Linked DNA regions of Rhinolophus ferrumequinum. The protein of the gene in region 3 purifies or fractionates together with the protein of the main gene of each other region. This does not show direct contact. Links are inferred from orthologs where the notes say so. Each region holds a gene or a part of one and is shown on either strand. Other genes may lie near its edges.

The links. Proteins that work in one complex are often made in the same cells at the same time.
Region 1: the proteins of EXOSC10 (region 3) and EXOSC4 purify together in Homo sapiens (affinity purification with mass spectrometry; 9 studies listed by BioGRID and IntAct, with this or other methods). This does not show direct contact. The link is inferred for Rhinolophus ferrumequinum from reciprocal best matches to the Homo sapiens genes EXOSC10 and EXOSC4.
Region 2: the proteins of EXOSC10 (region 3) and EXOSC7 purify together in Homo sapiens (affinity purification with mass spectrometry; 6 studies listed by BioGRID and IntAct, counting the BioPlex papers as one, with this or other methods). This does not show direct contact. The link is inferred for Rhinolophus ferrumequinum from reciprocal best matches to the Homo sapiens genes EXOSC10 and EXOSC7.

Annotation. Positions count from the first base shown.
Region 1 is NC_046297.1:72,919,979-72,927,132, reverse strand, and holds EXOSC4 (exosome complex component RRP41), read right to left. Parts: upstream 2,880-7,154; 5' UTR 2,402-2,879; coding exon 2,231-2,401; intron 1,208-2,230; coding exon 1,001-1,207; intron 901-1,000; coding exon 541-900; 3' UTR 501-540; downstream 1-500. UniProt on the Homo sapiens protein: Non-catalytic component of the RNA exosome complex which has 3'->5' exoribonuclease activity and participates in a multitude of cellular RNA processing and degradation events.
Region 2 is NC_046300.1:9,960,870-9,967,792, reverse strand, and holds the start of EXOSC7 (exosome complex component RRP42), read left to right. Parts: upstream 1-3,923; 5' UTR 3,924-3,951; coding exon 3,952-4,008; intron 4,009-6,923. UniProt on the Homo sapiens protein: Non-catalytic component of the RNA exosome complex which has 3'->5' exoribonuclease activity and participates in a multitude of cellular RNA processing and degradation events.
Region 3 is NC_046292.1:7,452,736-7,460,221, forward strand, and holds the start of EXOSC10 (exosome component 10), read right to left. Parts: upstream 3,020-7,486; 5' UTR 2,973-3,019; coding exon 2,862-2,972; intron 1,255-2,861; coding exon 1,118-1,254; intron 463-1,117; coding exon 339-462; intron 1-338. Other genes in the region: serine/threonine-protein kinase mTOR, read right to left, coding at 5,566-5,581, 6,258-6,363. UniProt on the Homo sapiens protein: Catalytic component of the RNA exosome complex which has 3'->5' exoribonuclease activity and participates in a multitude of cellular RNA processing and degradation events.

The sequences.
Region 1 (7,154 bases), on a different chromosome or scaffold from region 3:
GCTAAAGAGTCAGGTGCAGTGATGGGGAGGAGGGTGTCTGTGTCTCACTGGGGACCGGTCAGAGCCGAGAGAATACTCCAGGTGAGAACATGTGTCTGTTGAATTTTTGGAGCCCAAGGTAATTGCAGCATAGGCCCAAAGAGTTCCATTTGGTCCAAGCCATAGTCCACAGGATGTGGGACATGGCCCCCCACATCTCCAGGGTGGGCACCCAGCCGGCTGAGCTCCCCCGCAGCCCTGTGCTCAGGGCCCCAGTCTACTACTGGCCTAGCTCACCAAGCCAGGCCCCACCTGACTGCTCAGCTGCCTTGAACCATTCTGGGCATAAGCTGCTCTCTCCACCCACACACTCGCCCCCACCCCCAACCCCCGCCCCTTCTTCTCCAGGCTTTGAATCCTGAGGCTGCAAGAGGCATGTAGTTCATGTGCAGGGTGGGTCCCTGGTCACCCCCAGGAGCCAGGCTCTGAGAGCACGAAGTGCCGTGGGGCGTTCGAAGCGCTGTGGACTGTGGGTTTTATTCTGGGCATGGGGGCCGATGCTCAGTCCCCCAGCAAGACAGAGGCCTCGCGCACATGTTGCCGGACCACACGGTCCAGCAGGGCATGCACATCGCGGGCAGCCCGCGCCGCGGCCTCCAGCACCTGCTCCAGATGGTCCTCATGCAGCCTGGCATCCATCTCCAGCAGTGCGATCTGGCCTGAGGCAGGCAGCAGGGCCAGGGCCAGCTGGGGGCCACCAGCAGCTTCCTCCACGTGGCTGAGGTCTGCCAGAGGTGTGCCGTCCACAAAACCGGCTGAGCAGGCGCACACAAAGTCCCGCATAGGCACCCCAGCGTCCAGCACTGCCAGTGTGGCTGCGTTCACACAAGCTGCATAGGTCCCACCATCTGCCTGGAGCACCTGCAGGGACCCCCCCCCCAGTGGCATCAGTGCACTGGGCTGCCGACCCTCACACCCTTCCGGTCCCTGGGGGGAGGGCTGCTGCCTGCTCACCACTCACCTGCACATAGATGTCAATCTGGGAGCGAGGATGCAGCTGTGTCAGGATGGCCGCCTCGAAGGTCTGACGCAGTTGCAGGCCCATCTCACAAGACTTCCGATCCCCATGTGGCCGCCGCTTGCGCTCACCTGTGCTGAAGGTTGCAGAACTGTACTGACAGTTCACCAGGGCCCTGTCTGGCAGGGCTCGTGCCCGGGAGCCCCGGATCTGGGGGGAGAAAAGACACATGAGCCAGGCCCATTCCTCCCAGCTGACATTAGCCCTTCTGGCTCAGGCCTAGAACTTCAGCCTCCCTCCTCCCTCCCCACTACCTATAACATCTCAACCAGTGCAACTGAACAGTCTAAGCCACCATCACTGCTGGATCTCCTCTGTCTTACAGGCCTGTTTCCATCCCTGCCTCATCCCCTCCCAACCCAGTTTCCATTTGTAGCCAGAGCCAGTATGTTTACAAATATCAAGTCTGCTTCTGTCTCCTCTGCACAACCACATAACCTGCTCACCTTCCAAAGGCTCCCCATCACATGTGAGATAAAACCCTGCGTCCTACCCCTGGTCTACAAAGCCATCGCTAGAAAGCTCTCGATCTCATTTGGAATTATTCCCCATCTGCCCCAGCAGCAGCCTTTCTGCTCCGCAAACGTGCCACGCTTGTTTCCACCCCCTCTGGCCTTCCCCCTCCTAACTAGTCTCCCCCAGGAAAGCTGGGCTCCTAAACTCATGCGCTAAGCAAACTTTTTTTTCAGTGCCTGTGCTAGCAGGCACCGTTACGGCGCTGGAGACATGGCACTAAAACAGGCGGCTTTAAAGTCCCTCTCCTCCTGGAGCTTATGTTCCAGTGGGGAGACCAACGAGAAAGAGAAGTTAAATTGGTGTCTGAGGTGACAGATGCTGAAAAGCAGGGAAGCGTGTGGTTGTAGGGGACGGGACTTGAATAAGGTGGTCTGGGGAGGTATCATCCAGGCCGTGAAGTCGGAGTAGAGAGGTGAGGAAACGAGGGGGAGCGTGCCTGGCGCCTTGCAGAAGAGCATGGAGGAGGGGAGGGCGCAGGAGACAGTGGCCGGTGGAAAGGGCAGGGACCACCGTGCACCGCGGCGTAAGGACTTCCACTTTTAGTCCGATTGAGCCTCGGCCCGGAAGATGTGCTGCGTAAACGGAGACGCGCCGGCCGCCGCCTCCCGAGCCTGCGCCCACCCGCCCGCGGTGCCCGGCTCGCGCACGCCCACTCGCCTCGTGCGGCCCGTAGACCACCGCTAGCGCCTTGGTGTTGCCCTGCTCGATGTAGGCCGAGCCGTCGGCCTGCGCGAACACGCCCATGCGCGCCTGGATCTTGCGCAGCTCCCCGGCACGCCGCCCGTCTACCCGGTAGCCCTGGTCCGACAGGAGCTCCAGCCCCGCCATGTTGCTCTGCCGCCAGACGCCTCTGCGCGAACTACGGTTCCCGGAGGCCCGGATCCCCACTTCCGGTCTCCCGGAAGTCTAGCGTTTCCGGCGGGCCGGCTCCCCGCTTCCGGACTCAAAGTTACGGTCCCGGGTGGCGTCATTGTCCTCGTTGCCGCCTTCGGGGGACTTGGGCGGTGCTGGCCCAGGAGGAGAAGGCTGTGCCCGGGGCCGTTTGGGGAGCTTTTCTGCGGCCGCCAGGGCTGGAGACCCGCGGGAGGCAGGATCCCCCGACCGCGTCCCTATGTCACGGGGCTGTTCTCACGGCGCCCTGGTCGTCACGCCGCGCCTGTGCCCCGCGCCGGGCTCGGCGTTGCTTCTCTTTGAAGCCTGGAGTCTCCTGGGAGGTTCGCGGGCGGGACCAGCGAGGGCTGGAAGCAATCCTGGCTTCGTCCTTACGGGCTTCCAGTTGCTCCGCAGTCGTAAATACCCATTCTCCCAAGTTGGGACACTTTCCTTCCTGTTTAGTGTTTCCTTTTGTCCATTTAAAAATAGACATAATTTTATATTATGCATACACATGGGCACAGTTCTTTTCAGAGCAGTTTTTTTTTTTTTTTAAACGGGACTTTATTGGGGAACAGTGTGCACTTCCAGGACTTTTTTCCAAGTCAAGTTGTCCATTCAGTCTTAGTTTGTGGAGGGGGCAGCTCAGCTCCAGGTCCAGTTGCCAGTTGTTAGTTGCAGGGGGTCACAGCCCACCATCCCTTGCAGGAGTGGAGAAGTTGAACCTGCATGCCAGCCTTGTAGTTGAGAGACTACTGGCCCATGTGGGAATCGAACTGGCAGCCTTCGGAGTTAGGAGCACGGAGCTCCAACCGCCTGAGCCACCGGGCCGGCCCCTCAGAGCAGTTTTAATGTTGTTTTCCACATTGGCTTGGTTTTTCTGTCTGCACACCCCCTCCCCCCATTGACTTTAACCTAATAAATGGTCATTTGCATGTTTTTCTCCGTACATACAAATTATACACAAATACAGGAAGTTGTATGGGTATAGCCATAGTGGCTTTTGGAATTCTGGTTGTTTTTTAAAATGGGGTCATTTCATACACATTCTGTTTTTCACCCCAAAAATACCTTATGAAATCCATCTAAATTGTCCTGTGGAACTCATTAATATTTTGTTGGCTGCGTGAAACCTGTGGGGTAGTTGTGCCAGGATGTATGCCCCGCCACTGCCCTTCGTGGGGCATGGCTGTGTGTCCTCAAGTCCAGAATCCGCCCCTTCAAAGGCAGTTACTATCGCTAACCTCTTCTGTGCAGCTGTCACGCTAACTTGTTTCTCTGCAGGTCTGGTAACTTTTTGTTGAAAGCGAAACACTTTAGATAATCTATGCAGTGGCCCTGGACCATGAGTAGCCAGTCGCTCCATGGGCTATGTTGCTGTTTGAGTAGTTTATTCGTTTAGTGGCTTGTCTGGGCCAGTGCTGTGAAGTCAGTTTCCTGCCAGTGTGCAGCTGCTGATGTCACCTCCCAGCCCACCCCCTTCCCCCCCACCCCAGTGCTTATATTTAAGGGTAGCTCCCCAACATCTGGGTTAGCATGGCTTAGGGTTCAGCCCCCTGTTGGGCAAAGACTGCTTGAGCTCCCCACCAGTGAGGCACTGTCCTCTGCTGCTGGAGAAAGATTGCCCCCTGTACAGCCAGTGTAATGGGCGGCAGAATCCCCGCCAAAGACGTCCAGGTCCTGATGTCTGATAGCTGTGAATGTTACTTGTATGGTAAAAGGAACTTGGCAGATGATTACGTTAAGGATCTGGGAGCTTGTCCTGGATTTTCCAGGTGGGCCCCAAATGTAATCACAAATATCCTTTTAAAGTAGAAGCAGAGGGAGATTTGGATACGGAAGACAGAAGGTGAGGTGACCACAGTGACAGAGATTGGAGTGATGTAGCCCAAGCCAAGGACAAGGGAAGGAAAGAATTCTCTGGAGCCTCCAGAAGGAATCATTCCTGCTGACACCTTGATTTTAGTGCGTAACACTCAGCTTGGAGTTCTGGCCTCCAGAACTGAAAGAGAAGAAAGGTCTGTTGTTTTAAGGCTTCCAAGTTTGTGGTAATTTGTTAGAGCGTTCTCGTAACTGCTCGCCACTAAGGTAGCCATTGTCTTCCACAAAACCACACAGCCTCCAGAGAAAGCCAGCCTGCTCAGCCTTGCTGTGGAGCTGCTAGCCTCCCAGCCCGCCGCTCACCCTGGGCGGGAGCGGGTGGACGCCTGCTTCACCCAGAGCAGTGCCCCATATCTATGGGGGGGATGGGAGGCGTTGTCCTTCCCAGTGGAACCTCCACCCTGCAACTGGAGCCCCGAGTTCTGGCCTCTGCCCCCTTGGAGGAGAGCCTTCAGAGTGGGGAGCTGGGGTTGGGCAGCAGCAGTTTCGGGCTCAAATGCCACTGATTCCTGCTGCTCTTACCAAGACTTAGTCGACCTCCTGGAACAAATGCTGTTTGCCCTTTGGTCAATATCCAGAGTGAGAGGGTCACTCAGCCTGCCTGGACATCCTACCCCTGCCAGCCCTTTCACGGTCAAGGCTTGGCACCAGCTCGCTGTCACTTCCATCACATTTCTCTGGTCAAAAATAAGGCACATGGCCAGTTCATTCCACGGGATGAGAAATGGACTGCCCCTTGAGGGGAGGGCAGCACGTGCATCTTTGGGTTGCAGGAATTGGCTGCCCGGTGGGCACACCTTGCACGATCCCAGGACTGTGACTAGAATGGATTTTACGCCCAACATTAGGTTATGTTATATGGCGAGCTGAGGTATCCTGGCTGAGCCTCACTTCACCAGGTGGGCCCCTCGAAGGGGTGAGGCCACTGCCAGGCTCCTCCGGCAAGGTGGAATGGGTTGCTTCTGCCAGGAAGGAGGGCGCATAGCAGTTGGGAGAGTAGCTACTCAAAGTCCCATCCCAGGTCTCACAGTGCTGACTTCCATGGAAGAGTACACATCGTTTCTGCCTCTTTTATCATCAAGTCCCAAGCTTCCTTCAACTGGGAGGCTGTGCTAGTTTTCTGTTGGGTAACAACTGATCGCGAAGCAGTGGCTTAAAAGTGCATCCGTTAACTCACAGCTCTGTAGGTCAGACGTCTGTGAGTACAGTGTCTGCACTGAGTGCTTGGATTTGAATGACTGTCTGATCCGACTTCCTTTCAGCATGAACAAATTTCTTTAGTATTTCTTGTAAGGTAGGTCTGCTAGTACCAAATCCTATTTTTGTTCATCTCAGACTGTCTTTATTTCACCTTAATTTCCAAATGATCGTTCTCCAGTACACTGGGTAGGATTCTTGCTTGAGCTTTTTAACGACTCCGAGGATGTCATCCCATTGTCTCTGGCCCCCACTGTTTCTGATGGGGAATTAGGTGTTGGTCTTCTATGTGATGAATCATTTTTATGTTGTGACTTTTGAGATTTTCTCTGTCTCTCAATATTTTGACTGTGATATTTCAGCTCCTAGAGGCTGTCCACATTCCTTGCCACATGGAGAATCTCCCTGGCATGGAATCTCTCTTACACATTGCCTCTCTTTCACCAGGAAGAGGCCTGTCCTTCGAGGGGCTCACCTGATGAGGTCAGACTCAGCCAGGATACCTCAGTTCGCCACATAACACAACTTAATGTTGTTCGTAAAATCCACGCCAGTCACAGTCCTGGGATCATGCAGGGCGTGTCCACTGGGCAGGAAACCTTGCGCTCTCATAGAATTCTGCCCCCACAGCTCACCTTCCAGCTTCCAGGGTGTCTGAGTTGAAGTTGACTGGTCCGAGCCTGTCATTTTTTGGGGGGTAATATCACTAGTTCTGTCAGAAATACTGTACTCCATAATCCTTAGACTTAGGGTTATTTCCGAATTATAGGAACCATTAAAATGGTCATTATTTCTACTGAGATTAAGTGCAGCTGCCACCATGTGTCCTGGAACACTGCTCTCAGAGGTGTCACCCCACAGCCGGCCCCAGTGAGAACTCCCCACTGGAAGTCACCATGCCACACTGCAGCAGCTGGGAAAGGGCCACGCAAGTTCCAGGAAAACCTACCGGTTAATGAGTAGAAACTGCACTGAGCAAACCAGTTAATAGGAAACGATGATGTGAAATAAGCGATAAACGTAACATGAGGAAAACACTCAAAATGACGGCAACAGAACTGTCCCGTTAGAAGACACACTCCATGAAGGAAGTCCTTCATATGTTGGAAAATGGAAACCCAATTGTCAGCCTTGGGGGTGGCTGCCCGCCCCAGGAATCTGCTGTCCTCAGACCTGTCATGGGGCCTGCCTGCTGCCTGCCCCTGAATGGAGGGCCACGTCCAGGGCACCACCCTCCATGTGACAATGCCACTCCCTGTACCCCTGCAACAGGCCCATCTCTTGGCCTGCAGCCCCAGCCTGGCATGCTCGCTGGCTCACCGCTGCTCTTGAGCTCTGACTAGCTGAGTTACCACTGTCCAGCTCCTGCTGCTGCTGGGCCAGTGGCCCCTCCCTCAGGGCAGCTCAAACACCCTCCCTCCTGACCCTTCAGACGCTGTGCTGGCCATAACCACCTCGGGGACCGTGCCCAGTCACCCAGCCCCACAACCTGGCATAGGCAGGTGGGGACGGGCAGATGGGCAAGTGGGGATGCCTGAATCTCGACTCCCTTCCCTGCAACACACCCGTACTGGGCAGAGATGAAGGAGTTTCTGTCTTCCAGGAGGGGTCTTCCTAGAGGGACTCCAAG
Region 2 (6,923 bases), on a different chromosome or scaffold from region 3:
GCACCTTCAGAGCCAGGAATGACCCAGCCATTTGTCTCTGGAAATCTGCTTCCAAAGAGGAAGGCAAATAAAAAAATGCAAAAACAGGAAGAAAGTAGAGTCCACATGGGATTAACCATTTTTTCCCCCCAACAGATCAATATTCATACATCACTCCTCTATTTCTACTTCGGATTCTGTTGCTTTCTATGGCTGTGCTCTCAGGGTGTGTATGTGTCTTTAAATATTTCCAGATTTGCTCATTTGGAAACATGAGCCCCTTTTCTCACACATGCCCTAACGAAAGACATGGGAAGCACCCAGCCACTCACTCAAAATGAAACACACGTGAAGACCCTTCCTCTAAATGAGAATAAACTTTACCCATGTATTCATATCAATTTTTCTATCACTGTAATCACAAGTTATAATGTGTAGAGCAGCAAGACAGATACAGCCCTGCTGGCCAGACTGTGACAGGTTATAATGAAAATTCTTTAAGACAAGAAACAGGCAGGACAAATGCAAAGTGTTTAAAGGAAACAGATCTGTAGGGAAAACAGCAGCTCACTTTTGCTTTTCTGAGGTGCGAGGCTAATTGTGAAAATGCAAAGGAAAAGGCCTAAAACTTGGCTCCCTCTGTTTAAAGATTGGGAATAAAATGTTCGTTCCTCGGGCTTTTAGGAGCTCTCTGCAACTTCAGCACCACGGACGCAGCACGGCATCGAAGCTCTTCTGTCACCGGCTTTTACTGCTTTAATGAAGCAAGGCTGGGTGGGACAGATGGACTCCATCTCTGTAAGGTTCTCGTTGCCCGCTAGTGGCTCGCAGCAGCTCTTCACCTCTTGCCCTTGGTGCCTGGCATGCACAATTAGCACCTTATTATTGGCTGGCCTCTTGTCTAATTATCATGTGTCTCAATCGAGCAATATTTTATTGTCTTGTTCATGCACTAGCTCAAAGTGCCTGGGCTCCCCGGCTATAATAAATCCTAAACCCCTTTTAGGCAGGTGTGTGTTTTCAGTTTCTTATTACTTCAGGCCCTCGAGAACACAAGCGACTCTCGGGCACACAAACAAGTACTTCCTGATTGTTTGAAGAGCTCCTAGGTGTCTGTTGTGGGTGTAAGGCACGTGGTTGGAATCTGGGTCTCCATGCCATCTCCGTACCAGATCCATCGGCCTTCTCTGCCGTTGAGGGCTGTCCTCAGCTCCTCTAAGCTCCATCAGCCTGTATTTAACTGTTTCCCTTATCCAAAGGGGTTAGACATAGGAATTTCCCATTAGCACCACGTTCTATATTAGCTGTGCAGGGATTGGAGCTAGATTACCTGGTCTCAAATCCTGGCTCTGCCAGTTACGTGACCTGTGGCCTTGGTCAAGACAAGTAACTTCTCTGCACCTCAGTTTCCCAATCTGTAAAATAGGGATAATAGTATCTGTCTCGTAGAACTATTGTGAGGACTGAATCAGTCAATCTTTGTCAAGTGCTTGGTACATAATAAGCACTATGTAAGTTAGAGTTAAATAAAATTAATAGGGTGCAGAGGTTTAGAATAGACAGACCTACAAAACAGTATGCGCCCTAGAGAATCTGACAGTGATGGAAAAACAAGCTGGTTTAACAGAATAACGTGCCATCCTTGGCTTTTGGATTTTCTGGCTAACATACATTCTTTGAATGGCTTCAATAAACCAAAAAGGAACTCTGAATTTATGGGTTTTAAAAATGTCTAATGTATTATCACAACAAATGGGATAAAAATGTTCTGGCCGCACTGAAGTAGAACGATCAGTGAAGGTATCGTTGTTTTAGTAGAGAATGTAAAATGAATATTCTACTATTTATACCTCTCACACCTACTTAGCCTGTTAAGTCAGACATCATTCATAATATTACTTAGCAAATACTGCCAACCCTTCTCCAGCAAGGAACCTTTAGTCAGTTGTCGGGGGAACAGTTCAGATAGAGCTTTTATATTTTTTAAGACATACTGATTTTATATTGAGATGATTCCATGGTATCCAAACTCAGACTTTCCTTTCTGTGTCTTTTCTGATCTGTCCATTTGCTGCCACTTTTTAAATCCTTAATCCTCTTAGATATTCCAGCTACTAAAATTCCATGTCCAGGGTCTCTCTTTTCTGAGCAATCTCTACCACAAAATCCTGTTTTAACATCAGCATCCTCTGTTACCACAGAGTTCCTCACATGGGATCCAGGTGTCAAACCACACAGAAAAACGTCTATTGCCACAACAGATGGGGCACCTGTGTTTTCATTAGGGAGGAAATCCTTCCGGCTTCACCCTTCCGTTTCCCTGGAGGGCAAAGTCCAACCCTGCAATATGTCTTCCCTGTAGGTGCACCTGTAAAGAACTACGTAGAGACATAAGAAATAACTAATGTCTAGTCTACTAAGAAGTGATCATCTATTTTAGGAGCTTAGCAGTTTAGTGCTTAAGAAGGTGGACAGGTATTTCCTTTCTGCACCTTCCTCTGGCCCACCTCCCTGTCCCACTGTGCTCACTGGTGCCACCGTCATAGCTCTTAACCACCATGTTCTGTGATTATGGTGGCCCTGGAGCCTTCCCTTCTGCCTGGGGAGCTTCTCCGGGCAGACGTCGTGTTTCACTGGCCTTAGTGTTCCAAGCTAGCCCAAAGCCCACCCACAGCAAGATCCCAATAGTCATTTGGGAAACTATATTGAAGACAGTATCTGGGAAACACCGGTCGTTCTTTGGATGACCAAGCCATCAAGGGTTACTTTCACTTTTGAGAACAGGGAGGTTCCCCAAATACGGGACGTTTAGAAAAGTCATCAGATCCCCTCTTTGCTTCCATCACTTTCGGTTAACTTTCCTCCGTTTATCCACATGGCTCTGTTAAAATCTGTGCCATACCCTGTCTGCCCCGCCTTGCTGGGGCTCCTTCAGTGACCCCATGTCCACCTTGCAGGTATCCTTTCTGGACATTGGAGGCCGAGACTCCTACTCGGCCAGCACCTGGGCTTCCGCCCCGCCTCCCCGTCCCCTCCCGCCCCCAGCAGCTGTCCACAGCTCCCAGAAATCACCCCATCGAGTCAAGGCTTCCAGCCACCACTGAGAAGCGCTGGGGACGCCTGGGCACTGCGCCCCTCGCCAGCGCCGGTTACCAGGACTCTCCCTCCTACTCTCTTTGGGATCATACTCCGGCGACCACCCGGGGCAAGGGGATCCTGAAAGGTCCTGGGTCAGCGTTCGGTGAGAGAGAGAGAAAGAGAGAAATGGGGGGAGGGGGAATCCGTGGGGTGGACTGAGGACGCCTCGGGACTAGTGGGCATTCATTCCTGGCCCGGAACCTTTCCACCGAGAAGCTAAAAAGGGCTTCATCGCCTCTTCTTTTCAACCATCCTAGGGACCAGGAAAATGCAGGACCGGGCGGTGGGGGTAGGGAGACCGAGACAGCCCCCGGTCTGTAGGGGAGACAATCACCAAGTCCGCTTCCCCTCACTCCGGTGTCTCTCTCTCACACACACGCACACGACCTGCTACTTCCACTCCAGCTCTGAGCAATCTGCGTCGCGCGCCTCTCCCACTACGAGTCCTCCGGCTTCGGCCCCGGCCCCGCGCCTCTCACCTCACCCCAGCTTTTCCAACCAACTCCAGTTCCGCCTCCCAACTGACCGTGAAGTCGGAGGCAGTTCCCCAGTCCCAGGCCCCTAACGTGGCTCCCGCCGCGGCCTCCCCCTGCAGTCCTCGACCCGGGCCCCGGCTTCGGGCTGCAGCGATGGCTCCCCGGCACGAGGCCCCGCGGCTCCCTGGACTCTGCCAGACACGCGGCAGCGCGCAGGAGAAGCCCATGGAGCTCCCGGCAGTGGCAGCAGCGGCGGCTGCAGGAGCGGCCGCCGCGCAGGCTGATGACGCACAGGAGCGGGAGGCGCGGCCCGCGCGGGGGCGACGCGGGCTGATGACGTCAGGGCCGGCTCGGCAGCATGGCGTCCGTGACGCTGAGCGAGGCGGAGAAGGTGTACATCGTGCACGGCATCCAGGTAGCTCCAGCACGGCGCCGGCGTGGGCCGCCGGGTGTTCCTGGCCCCGCGGGTCGCGGGCGGCCCTCGTTCACCCGGGAGGAGCGGCCGCGCCGCGGCGGGTCTGCGTTTACCTTGGGATTAAACCGCTCTGCGGCCGGCAGCGTGGGCGATTTAGGAGCGGGCGGCGAGCGTCCGTGCAGGGCTGGGTGCGTGCTCGCAGCCTCCCGGGTCTCCGGTTCCGAACCCGGGTAGGAAGCGGTGCGCCCGGTCCCGGAGGCCTTTTCGTAGCGAAGGAGCGCGGCCCCAGGGCCCTCCCTTCAGCCTTCGCGAGCCGCTTCACTGTCGCGGTGGCTTCTGGCCGCCTTTCCTCGCCTCGTGGTTGGGAGTCACAGCGAGAGAGAAGGCACCCGAGGTGGAAGCGCTTTGGGAATATAAATCGCCTTACAAATAAAGGAAGGGTGTTTAAAAAGTGGCTCCACAGGCAGCAGCATAATTTTTGCTGTTGGCCATTTTGTCTCTGGAGAACTAAGGTCCCTAGAGGCAGCTGTAACTACACTGAGCTCTTCTGTGCTCAGCCTTCAATCCCTGGTTTGGACCACCACGGAACCCGAGCCTGGTAATTAGCTACCGAGGAAAGCCAAGGGCGTCCTTCTTGTCTGTAACCTGCCCAGGTTAGAAACGTCTCCCAAAAGTCTCCCCAGAGCCTAGGCAGAATCCTGTTCTTGCCTGGATTGACCTGAGCATTTTGTGTTTTACTTTTCACTTTTGGTTTATTATGGTTACTTTCATCTCGTCTGGCGTTCCTTTTACATCAGTCTTCGATTCCTTTATTACTCCTAAGATGAGGAAAAGCAGTGGCATATAAGGTGTGTGTATCAACGGGGTGCTGTAGTCCGTGGACGCCAAACGCGCTCAAGCACAGTGGAGACTACTGCGCTGGAGCCTTCCCCACGGAGGTGGGATTACTCTCCTAAATCCACGTCAAGTGCTTCCTCTGTGTATCCTCAGGACTCAGTATTTAACTCATTCAACGGAGCTAGACTCGAGGGGTAGGAAGTAGCCTGCCCTTCTATAGCTCTCATGCTAGAATGAACAGACAGAAATGACTTCTGTTTATTTGTGTGTTTATATATAAAATTATACTGAGGGCTGTGAAGGGAAAAAACGAAAAACAAGAAACCTGCCTCGTCTGGCAGGTCAGGGGAGGCTAAGGAAATTGCTTGATCAAGAGTTAAGTAGGCTTGAGCCTTCCAGAAGGAAAGGATGGTGACTCCACTCGTGCTGAGGGTAATGGTGGAAGATCAGGTTACAGAGGTAACCAGAAGCCTGATCCTAGGGATCTTAGAGGCTCAGCCACTCCCTCATCATGGATCTTGGAAGGTCATTATTGACCTGTCTGTATGATACCCTTAAGGCCTAGCCGGTGTCCAGCACTTAGTAGGTACTCAGTAACATTAAACAGTAACGTAGGCCTTAAAGGGGCGATGAGTTGGACAGGGTTTTCATTTTTTAAATCAAACCTCTCTCTCACCAGTCACCAGGACCATGGACACATTAGGGCCACAACTATTAGTAAATGTTCAGTTCTGTGTATCACAGAACCATGTAGACTAACTGACGAAATAAAACTCTTCGTAAGGATTGTTAATATTGGCCACAAATTTGCCGTGTTTGTGGAGGAGCAAAACAGAATTTACACCATTTGAATCAAGGTCAGAATGCAGGTGAGTGAGCCTGCCATGGGATCTCCACTGACTCAGTTCTAAAATCACCTACACTGTGGTTAAGTTGGTCACCGAGTGCCAGCAGAGTGCCGTAAGTCTAGCTGGAATCCTGTTCCTGCCCCTGTAGACCTAATCATTTTGTGTTTTACTTTTCACCTTTGGTCCTGTTTGGTTTTAGCTTCTGGCTCCCTTTCCCTCAGCCTTTGATTCCATTACTATTTCAGGGATATTTTATCTTATTTTGGTGGTGGTTAGAAGCAGTTGAAATTAACCTCACCATGTGTGTTGAGGATTCAGTTGCTAGTTATGTTAACCAACAAACTGGCTCAAGCCAAAAAAAAGTACGTATGAGAAGGCTATAAGTGTTTCTCCAGGAATTCATGGGCAGTTGGATCTTCAGGCTTTCGCTTGCCCATCTCTGCTGCTTTTTATGCCTTTGTTTTATTCTCCTCACTCTTCAGTTGGCTTTCTGTTTCTTGGGCCATGTGGTAGAGAGACTGTGGTTATCTCTCAGCTCTTGGGGTTACAGTTTCCTTGTATAAGAAAGCAGCCCTTCTAGTTCAGTTCCAGACTCGTCTATGGACAGAATGGTTAGGCCCAAACATGGCCACTGAGGGATGAGGCCACTTGAGAGAGAGAGAGAGAGAGCGCAATTAGTGGACAGGAGGATGAATCATTTTATGTTCTGGCAGAAGATGGAACCCAATTCAGATAACTCAGGGGACTTTCATAACCACATGGGTGCATTTCAGGGAACCAAGAAGAAATGTGGAAGAGCCCAACGTCTAGTGACCACAGGGAGTAGCTACGACTTCTAGGCCAAAGGGGCCAAAAAGAAGCAAAGAGTAAAAGAATATCTGTAGTAGGCTGCCCTTTATGTAAGAAGGGGATATAAAAAATATTCGTGTATCTGCTCATTTGTGCAAAGGAAAAAGAGGAACCAGGTTACCTACCTGGTGTGGGTGGGAAAGGGGGAGGAAGAAGAGGGGACATGAAAATAGGGATAAGGGGGAGAGTGACATTCCTCTGAGCACACCTTTTCTGAAAGTTTTGACTCTTAGAGCCGTGGTGAAAGTCCACACATCCAAAAAGTAAATAAGTAATTAAAAGTAACGAGGTAATTAAAAGTAACCGGACAAGTGAGTAACAGAGCCACCCTGAGGATGGGGACAGACAACTGGAAAACAGTGTTTTGTGTGGATCACTTGG
Region 3 (7,486 bases):
TTCCGGTGATATTTTGAAGTGATATATTTGAAGACAAGTGTTATTTTGGGGAAAAGGAAGCCAACTATCAAAGAAAGGAATATGTTACAGGCAAGAAATGCGAAACTTCCTTTCCATTTCCTAAGGTGCCTGGGTTCCTTTTCATATTTTAAGAATACAAAAGCTTCTCGTTTGTTAGTTATCTTAAGAGTAAGGTGAAGAAGCTGCAAAGCTGTACTTCTGCAGAGCAACTGAGATCTTGCTCCCTGTCATATGTCGTCAGATTGGCTCGATTAAACTCTTCTACAAAGTAATCAAAAAAAGAAAAAAAAAAGAAGGGAGTAAGGAGAAATACTGACCACTCTTTCCAGAATAACATCATTGGTGTCAACAAGTAAATCAAACTTGTCCTCCAACTCAGTCACTTTACTTCGGTCCTTAATGTTGCTTCGACACCCATGGTACTGCATTACCCTACTCATGCTAAGGACAGGAAAACCAAGGTTAGTGTGTGCACTTGTTTATAATCGGGGAGAAAGCGCGAGAGGCCTCGCTCGGATTATTCCCAGTACTTTTTGATCAAATGAATAGAACTTGCACCCTTAAAGTGAAACACGCTGTGTGGCCTTGGGCAATCCGCTATATCTCGCTAAGACTCACCTGTTGTTAATTGAAGGGGTGGAAGAAATTACTCAAAGCTCCCTTTAAATTCTAAAAGGATATATAATACTATATAAATAATGTACTCTGCATTCACTGTGTTAACACGAAATCGAAAACATTCCCTAATTCTGTCATGGAACAGCTAAACAAAAATCAGTGTTTGTGTACTGTCTGTCCTAATACATTTATTAGAAGGCTAATACTTGTGGCTCCGCAAGTTGTGAGAGAATCTTGGATCTAGGTTTTCAAGTCCTACATTAATTCAAAAAGATTCATTGTCTGTAGGTGCAAAAGTCAAGATATTTTAAAAGTTAAACTCAAAATTTACCAAGTTTCCCTAATCAAAATCCACTGTCTTATTTTTACATTTCCATAGCTCTGAAAATTATGTTCAGAAAAAACACATTTCAGGAAAAATTACCTCCTTTTTTATATTCATTTCTTTCAACAGAAGAAAACAGTATATAGCACTTACCACTGAAGCAACCTGTCTCCCTGTGTTTCACAAAATGCCTGAAAGCCAGGAAAACTTCGGTAAAAATCATACTCATCGCCAAACTGTGGTAGGCCCCCAGATGCTTTGGTGACTGCTACCACCGATCCAAGAGCAAACTGTCAAAAACCAGAAAACCAAGCACGTTTTAAACATGGATCCCCATTCACTCAGCAACTCATTTTTTTTTCAACACCTATTATATATAGTAACACATTGTGCTCGATGATGAAGATATCCAATCCCACAAATATTCACTTAGTGCTGATTTTACCCCAGGTCCTCAGGGTACAATGGTGAACACAAAACTAAGTTCTAGAGCTTACATTCTTGGGAGAGTGGGGAGAGGAAGAACAAATACACGTATGAGTAATATTCTAACTGGCCTGGGTTTGAATCGTGGCTCGGCTACCTATTAACTGTGATCTCGGGCAAATTATTTCATTTATTTGGACCTCAGTTTCCTCCTCTGAAAAATCGGCATTATTTAAGTGCCAACACCATAGAGTTGTTGAAAGGATTAAATGAGCTAATAAAATCACTTAGGATAGCTGCTGGCACAGAAGTGCTATTATTACTATTACTACTCAAATTCAGATCCATGAGTTTCCTACAGGAATTAAGTTTTGTGTTTTCATTTGGATGAGCATCTAAAAACAATATAAGAATATTCTAGATCCTTTGGATGACCAATTGATAATGGCTACTGCCCACAACTGGACTTACGTTTATGGTTCAGTTAGTGCCAAGTAGTCCTCTGTTTTAATTGTTGTGGGGTAATGAGAAAAAAACCTGAAGTGGTTGTCCTAGATAAAAAAGATAGTTGGTCATGTGAAGGCCAAATGCCTTCACTGTGAGTTGCGTAATAAAAGTTTTCCAAGAAAAAGAAGAGAGAAAGGAATCTGAGTTATGGTGGGGTAGACCTGGTAGCTTATAAGCATGAACACACCCAATCAGGACCATGGCTAGTGGTCCAGGAACTACCAAAGCCAAATAAATAAGTTAATAATAGCATCTGCTAACAATAAAGTAGGTATGTGAGTGTAGTTTTTGAGAATTTGTAGTGCTAATTTAAAAATTATTTTAGTTTCATGATTTTATAAGAGCTATGCATAAGGCGTTTAAAATAGTTTTATGTTTGTTCATATTTAAGCAGCATTATACAAATAACTAAACGAACCCTCTCTGTGTTCTTTCGAGGAGGCATTGATACATATTCTATGGTACCTAGAGGAGGGAGACTCAGTGACAGCTTGCACAGGTGACTTTAAACCCAGGTTTTGGGATTATGTAGGACTGGACCTCAGGAGTGAGAAGAGGCACTAAAAACTATCTTGGCCGCGGGAGGCGAGGATGTAGGAAGGCAACATAAAGCAGCCGAGCCCCTCGGGAGAGTTGGTTGGGTGGCTCAGGCCCGGGCGGGGGCGAGCTCGCGAAGGCTGGGGCATCGGCGTGACAAGAAAGCCCTTCCCACTGTGGAGGGGGCGCTCCACACTCAGGGCTGCATGGGCTCAATTAGGAGAATGAACGCACTGGAAAGCGGGGCTACCTTTAGTGTCCGCGTGCGAGGCCCCATCCCCGGAGGGTGAAGTGAGAGACTGCTTGGAGCGGGCAGCGGCCCCTCGATCCCCGCCCGGGGCTCCGCGTGCGGCCGCCCAGAGGGCCCGGGCCTGCTTCCGGCCCGCCGCTGGAGGCTCACGGCGTCCCCGAGGCCCCGCGAACTCACCTTCACGAAGCTGTCCGCGTCCGGAAATCCCGGCAGCACCATCTCCTCGTCGGACTTAGCCGCGCTCGTAGCCGGCGGGGCCTTCAAGTCCCCGGGACTGGGAACCGCCATTTTTCCGGCATTCACGGCTCTTCTCGCGAGAGTGCCTCGGGCCGACGCGACGTGCGCGCACCACGCATGTGCAAAGGTCGTCTTCGTCGGGCAGGATCTTAAGGGGCGTGTGCGTGAGCAGTACGGTCCTGAGCGCTCCACCCAGGGAACTTTACATTTTTCTTTAACCTCGTATTATATCATCCCAACAGTCCTGTGATTTAGGGTGAGACCCGGAGAACCCAATTATCCTCATATTTAAAGCCAGCTCCTCCCAAGCTGTGGTTCCGTGCCACTCCTACCCGCTTGAACTTGGCTCTTGCAATTATCCCCGTTCTCTGCATCATCTATCTTTTCCCTGGCTACTGGTCCGTTCCTAACAGCCTACACGTATGCTGGCATCTCCCAACTAAACAGACGAAACGAAAAAGCACTACTCCACCCCACTCCTTCTAGCCACCGTCGCCTTTCTCTTGCCCCTGGTAGGCAAACTCCTGGAAAAGGCATCTGTGTGCTCCCACCTTGCGTACCTCCTGTGCCCTCCACCTCCAGTCACGTGTTCCTCTCCTTTACACCCCCGGAACCCCTCTTGTTTAGCCACGTAGTGGGAACTCAAAACATTTGCTAACTGAATGCCTCGAAGCGTTCGTGTTCTACGAGGGAGGCACCATTAGGCAGGTCAGGGGAGGGACTGGGGAAGCTCAGTGGGTATATATTCTAAGATCAGGGGTGGCACACCCTTGATGCAATTCATTTGGCCTAGTAGTGTTCAGTAAATATTAGCTTTTATTGTTATTCAGAACATCCTATTAACAGGATACTTGTTTTTTACTGTTTTCCCCCACTTGTGTACCTCGGGTGCACCGGCACCCTGGCAGAACAAAAGCCTAGCCTAGTTCATTTAACAACTCATATTTCTGAGCACCTGTTTCATACGGTTTGACCTAATGCCACCTGTCCGGCTGTGCTGAGTGCTTTACATGCATCATCTCCTCCTCCTAGTACTATTACCCACTGTCAGAGGAGGAAAGATGCAGCTTCTACCTGTTTTAGAACCTCACATGGTTCCCTGCTGTCCACAGTATCAGGTTCAAACTCCTTGCCGTTGAACTGTGAGGCAGGCCAGTCTGGCCCCACTCTACTTTCTGGCCTCCTTTTCGTTCCTATTCTTTTTATTCCCCACTGACCACTGAGGTAGACCTGCTGACCTGTGAGGTGTGACTATGAAACCACCATTTTATATATAAAACATGGCTGAATACCAGCAATCTAATACGGCTCAAGTTAATACTCACCACTTCTACACCATATTGCGCTTTGACACCTCTTTTCTGCCGAGAATGTCCTCACTTGCTTGAAATGACAAGCTCCCGCGCATCCTTTGAGACACACGGCAAATGTCCCCCTTCCCATGAGGCTTTCCTGCCTTGCCCAGTGGCGTAGTCGTTTCAGAGCCCCACCTGTGGCTCACACCCTGTACGTGGCCCTTCTCACCCCTTCGTGTCGTGGAGTTGTCAGTCCACTCCTGCCTGATACTGTCTCGGCCTTTTCCGGCCTGTGAACACCCCCGAGGAAACAGACTAGGTCATGTAGATCCGGTTCCTTTATGGTCCCTAGTACTCAGTGCTTAGTGAATGTTGAAGGAATAACTGCTTCCTTTATGAACTAATAATTATGAAAAGCCACTCATACGTTTTTAAAATTCTGTTGTTTATTGGCACAAAAATTATTCAGATACAACATGGTGTCTAGACACGGCTACAGTTTATATTTTGTGCATTTAGTTTAACATTTGTTTTGCTCATTTCCAACATGTAACTAGGCCTTCCCTGTGTACAGCACCGCCTGACAGCACTTGTTCTCCAAGCCCCTGCTCTAAACACAGAGCGTTCAGATGTCACTGCAAACATCCCAGAAGTAGGCCTGTGTGGGCCACTCCCCTGCACTGTGATGCCCTCTGTGCATCTGCACAGCTGAGGTCACCCAGTAATCTGAAGAAACTCCCCTGCTAGTGGTCTGGGTCTTGAAGTGTGTACATCGCAGCATCGTGGGTGAGGCAGAAGACGGACCTTTCCCCACCCATTTTGGCCCATCTCGCATATACTGTTGCCGTCCACGGACCAGTGAGGTAACGGGATGGGTGAAAGTGAAGAAGGCGGCTTCTGCATCCTTACGGTCCAGAATCCTAAGACGTGTCCTCCATGACCTGAGGCTTCTTGACTGCTCTGAGTTTGCTGTATTCATGTTGAGAGGCACGACTAGGCCATTCTGCGATCAGCAAACACTTACGATGAGTTGTGAGTTATGTCAAAACCCGTATTTCTAAAGTTATGGATCTTCTGTTCCCTAAAATCAATGGCTTGATTTAGGTAGCATTAATTGTGTTTACTGTCCTGGGAACCAAATCAAACCTTGTGTTTCTGACAATATATTCTTCAACAGCAGCTAGAAAGTTGGTTCAAACCAACTTTTTAATATACAGTAGTTCTTTTCATTTACATTTCAAAATATTTAACAAAGTTGAACTTTCCGACCATGGTTTCAGTTTAGTGGAAGCATATACCAAAGTACAAAAGGCTCAAGGGAAATGCTGTGGGCACGTCTGGGCCTCCAGTTACCAGAAAGGACACCTAAGACGACAGAAAGAAAAGGAATATTTTAATAATTTGGGCTTCTTCAAAGCTTTACACAGATACGAGTACATTGAAAATGGAAAGACCAAGGTCTGACAACCCCCGGGAGAGTCCCTGAGATCTCCCACTACTAATTGTGCAGGACACACTCGTCATTGCTAGTCAAGTGCTGACGTTTGCTGTGGTCCCAGGACACTTCCCCATGGCCCTCTTGCTCAAGTTTCTACCTTCGGGCATGCCTCAGGCAATTAATCAAAGCGGACTGAGTGGTCCTTGATGTTATAATCCCAGATCCAAAGTTTGTCTTTTCATCTCCTTCTCTGTCACTGCTCTGGCTTCTTTTACTTTGCCTTCCTGTATCTTGGAATTGACAGCAAAAATCCAAAAGATCCCCCTCAAAATAAGGAAGCCTCACTTTTCTAAACCATTTAAAATGTAATTTTAACTTATTTTGGTATTTGCCTTCCTAATATGCATCCATATTTCCTCAAATTTCTCCTTTTTAGAGCAATGAGCACACACAGTGAATACAAAAATTAAAGACATGTGAACTACGAATACCCTTTATGGATTACCACCCCCCTCCCAATCTTGTCTCGGGGACTCTGGGTTTGGGGCACAGGGTGGGGTCCTGACTGCTTGTTTTAACAAAAGTACTGAGACGCCCGCTCACCAGCCAATGTAGCACTGGCAGAGGTTTTCATGGGAGGTGGCTTGTTTGATGAGCAGCTCCACTTGTGTTGGGACATCCAGCGTTTCATCATGAGAGAAGTCCCGACCTAGGACGGGAGAAGCCCAAACATTGCGTCTGCACCTGGTTAAAACACCCTCCTGGCCGTTTGGATCAGTTTATCCTCACGCATGAGTATGAAGGCTAGACAAGGGGTGGATTTTAAAACGACCTCCATGGGACCTGAATAAGCACCAGCCTCCTTCTCCTAACACAGACTTGGTTAAAGAGAGTCAAGGCCTGCAGGTGGCTGAGTTCAGCAGGGGCACAGACCTAGCTGATGGGTTTCTAAAGATTTCTTCTTCTAATCCAGAATCACCCTTGAGTCGGCAAGTGGATGAGAAACCCTGTTCTGTTTCAATCTCACTAGCCTCCATCTTTGAGTCTTTCCTTCCACAGGGCAGTTGCTTCCATTATAAATTTATAATCTTCAAGTTCCAAATGCGGCAGTACAAGGCTGGCTTATGTTGCTTCTTAGGCAACAAGCCTTTCCATCTCCACGAGGATCATTTCAAGTCCTTTACTCTCCCCAAATATCCAAACCTCTCCTCTGGCTTCTCATCCTCAGCAGATGCCCTCATCACCTACTTTGCAAGTTAATTATTTCACTGAACACAGTTTTTGGCCCCTGATGTGTCAGGCAGTGTTCGAGGCGCTGGACTTGTTTAATACGCGCTTCCTCTTTGCTCCCATGACCTGGTAGAGCTACCCTCCTCCCACTTAAGGCCAAGTTCACCTGTGCTTTGGATCCCATCACCTCCTGCTTTCTGAGGAGCCTTATATTAATTACCCTTCCTCTCACTCATGCCTTCCAACTCTCCTTCTCAACTGCCCTTCTTACTGTTTTCTAAACATGTTCCTCTCTTCCATTAAAGAAACAAAGCCTCTCATCTAACTACTTCTCCAGCTATGTCCTGTTTCCTTCCTGCACAGCCGAACTTCTCAAGAGTTCTGAAATTTGTCTCCATTTCCTCGCTTCTCTCACTTCAGTCTCTTCAATTGCTTCCTCTGGTGCCAGGCTCATCCCAGCTCTTAGAAGGTCACCAATGACTTGGGGCCATTCTTGAGCCCTCCCCATCATCAAGCCTTTTGATTTTACCTCCTAAAGATCTCTTGAATCCAGAGAACTGACTCTGAGTGGTGAACACACAATGTGAGATATAGATACTGTT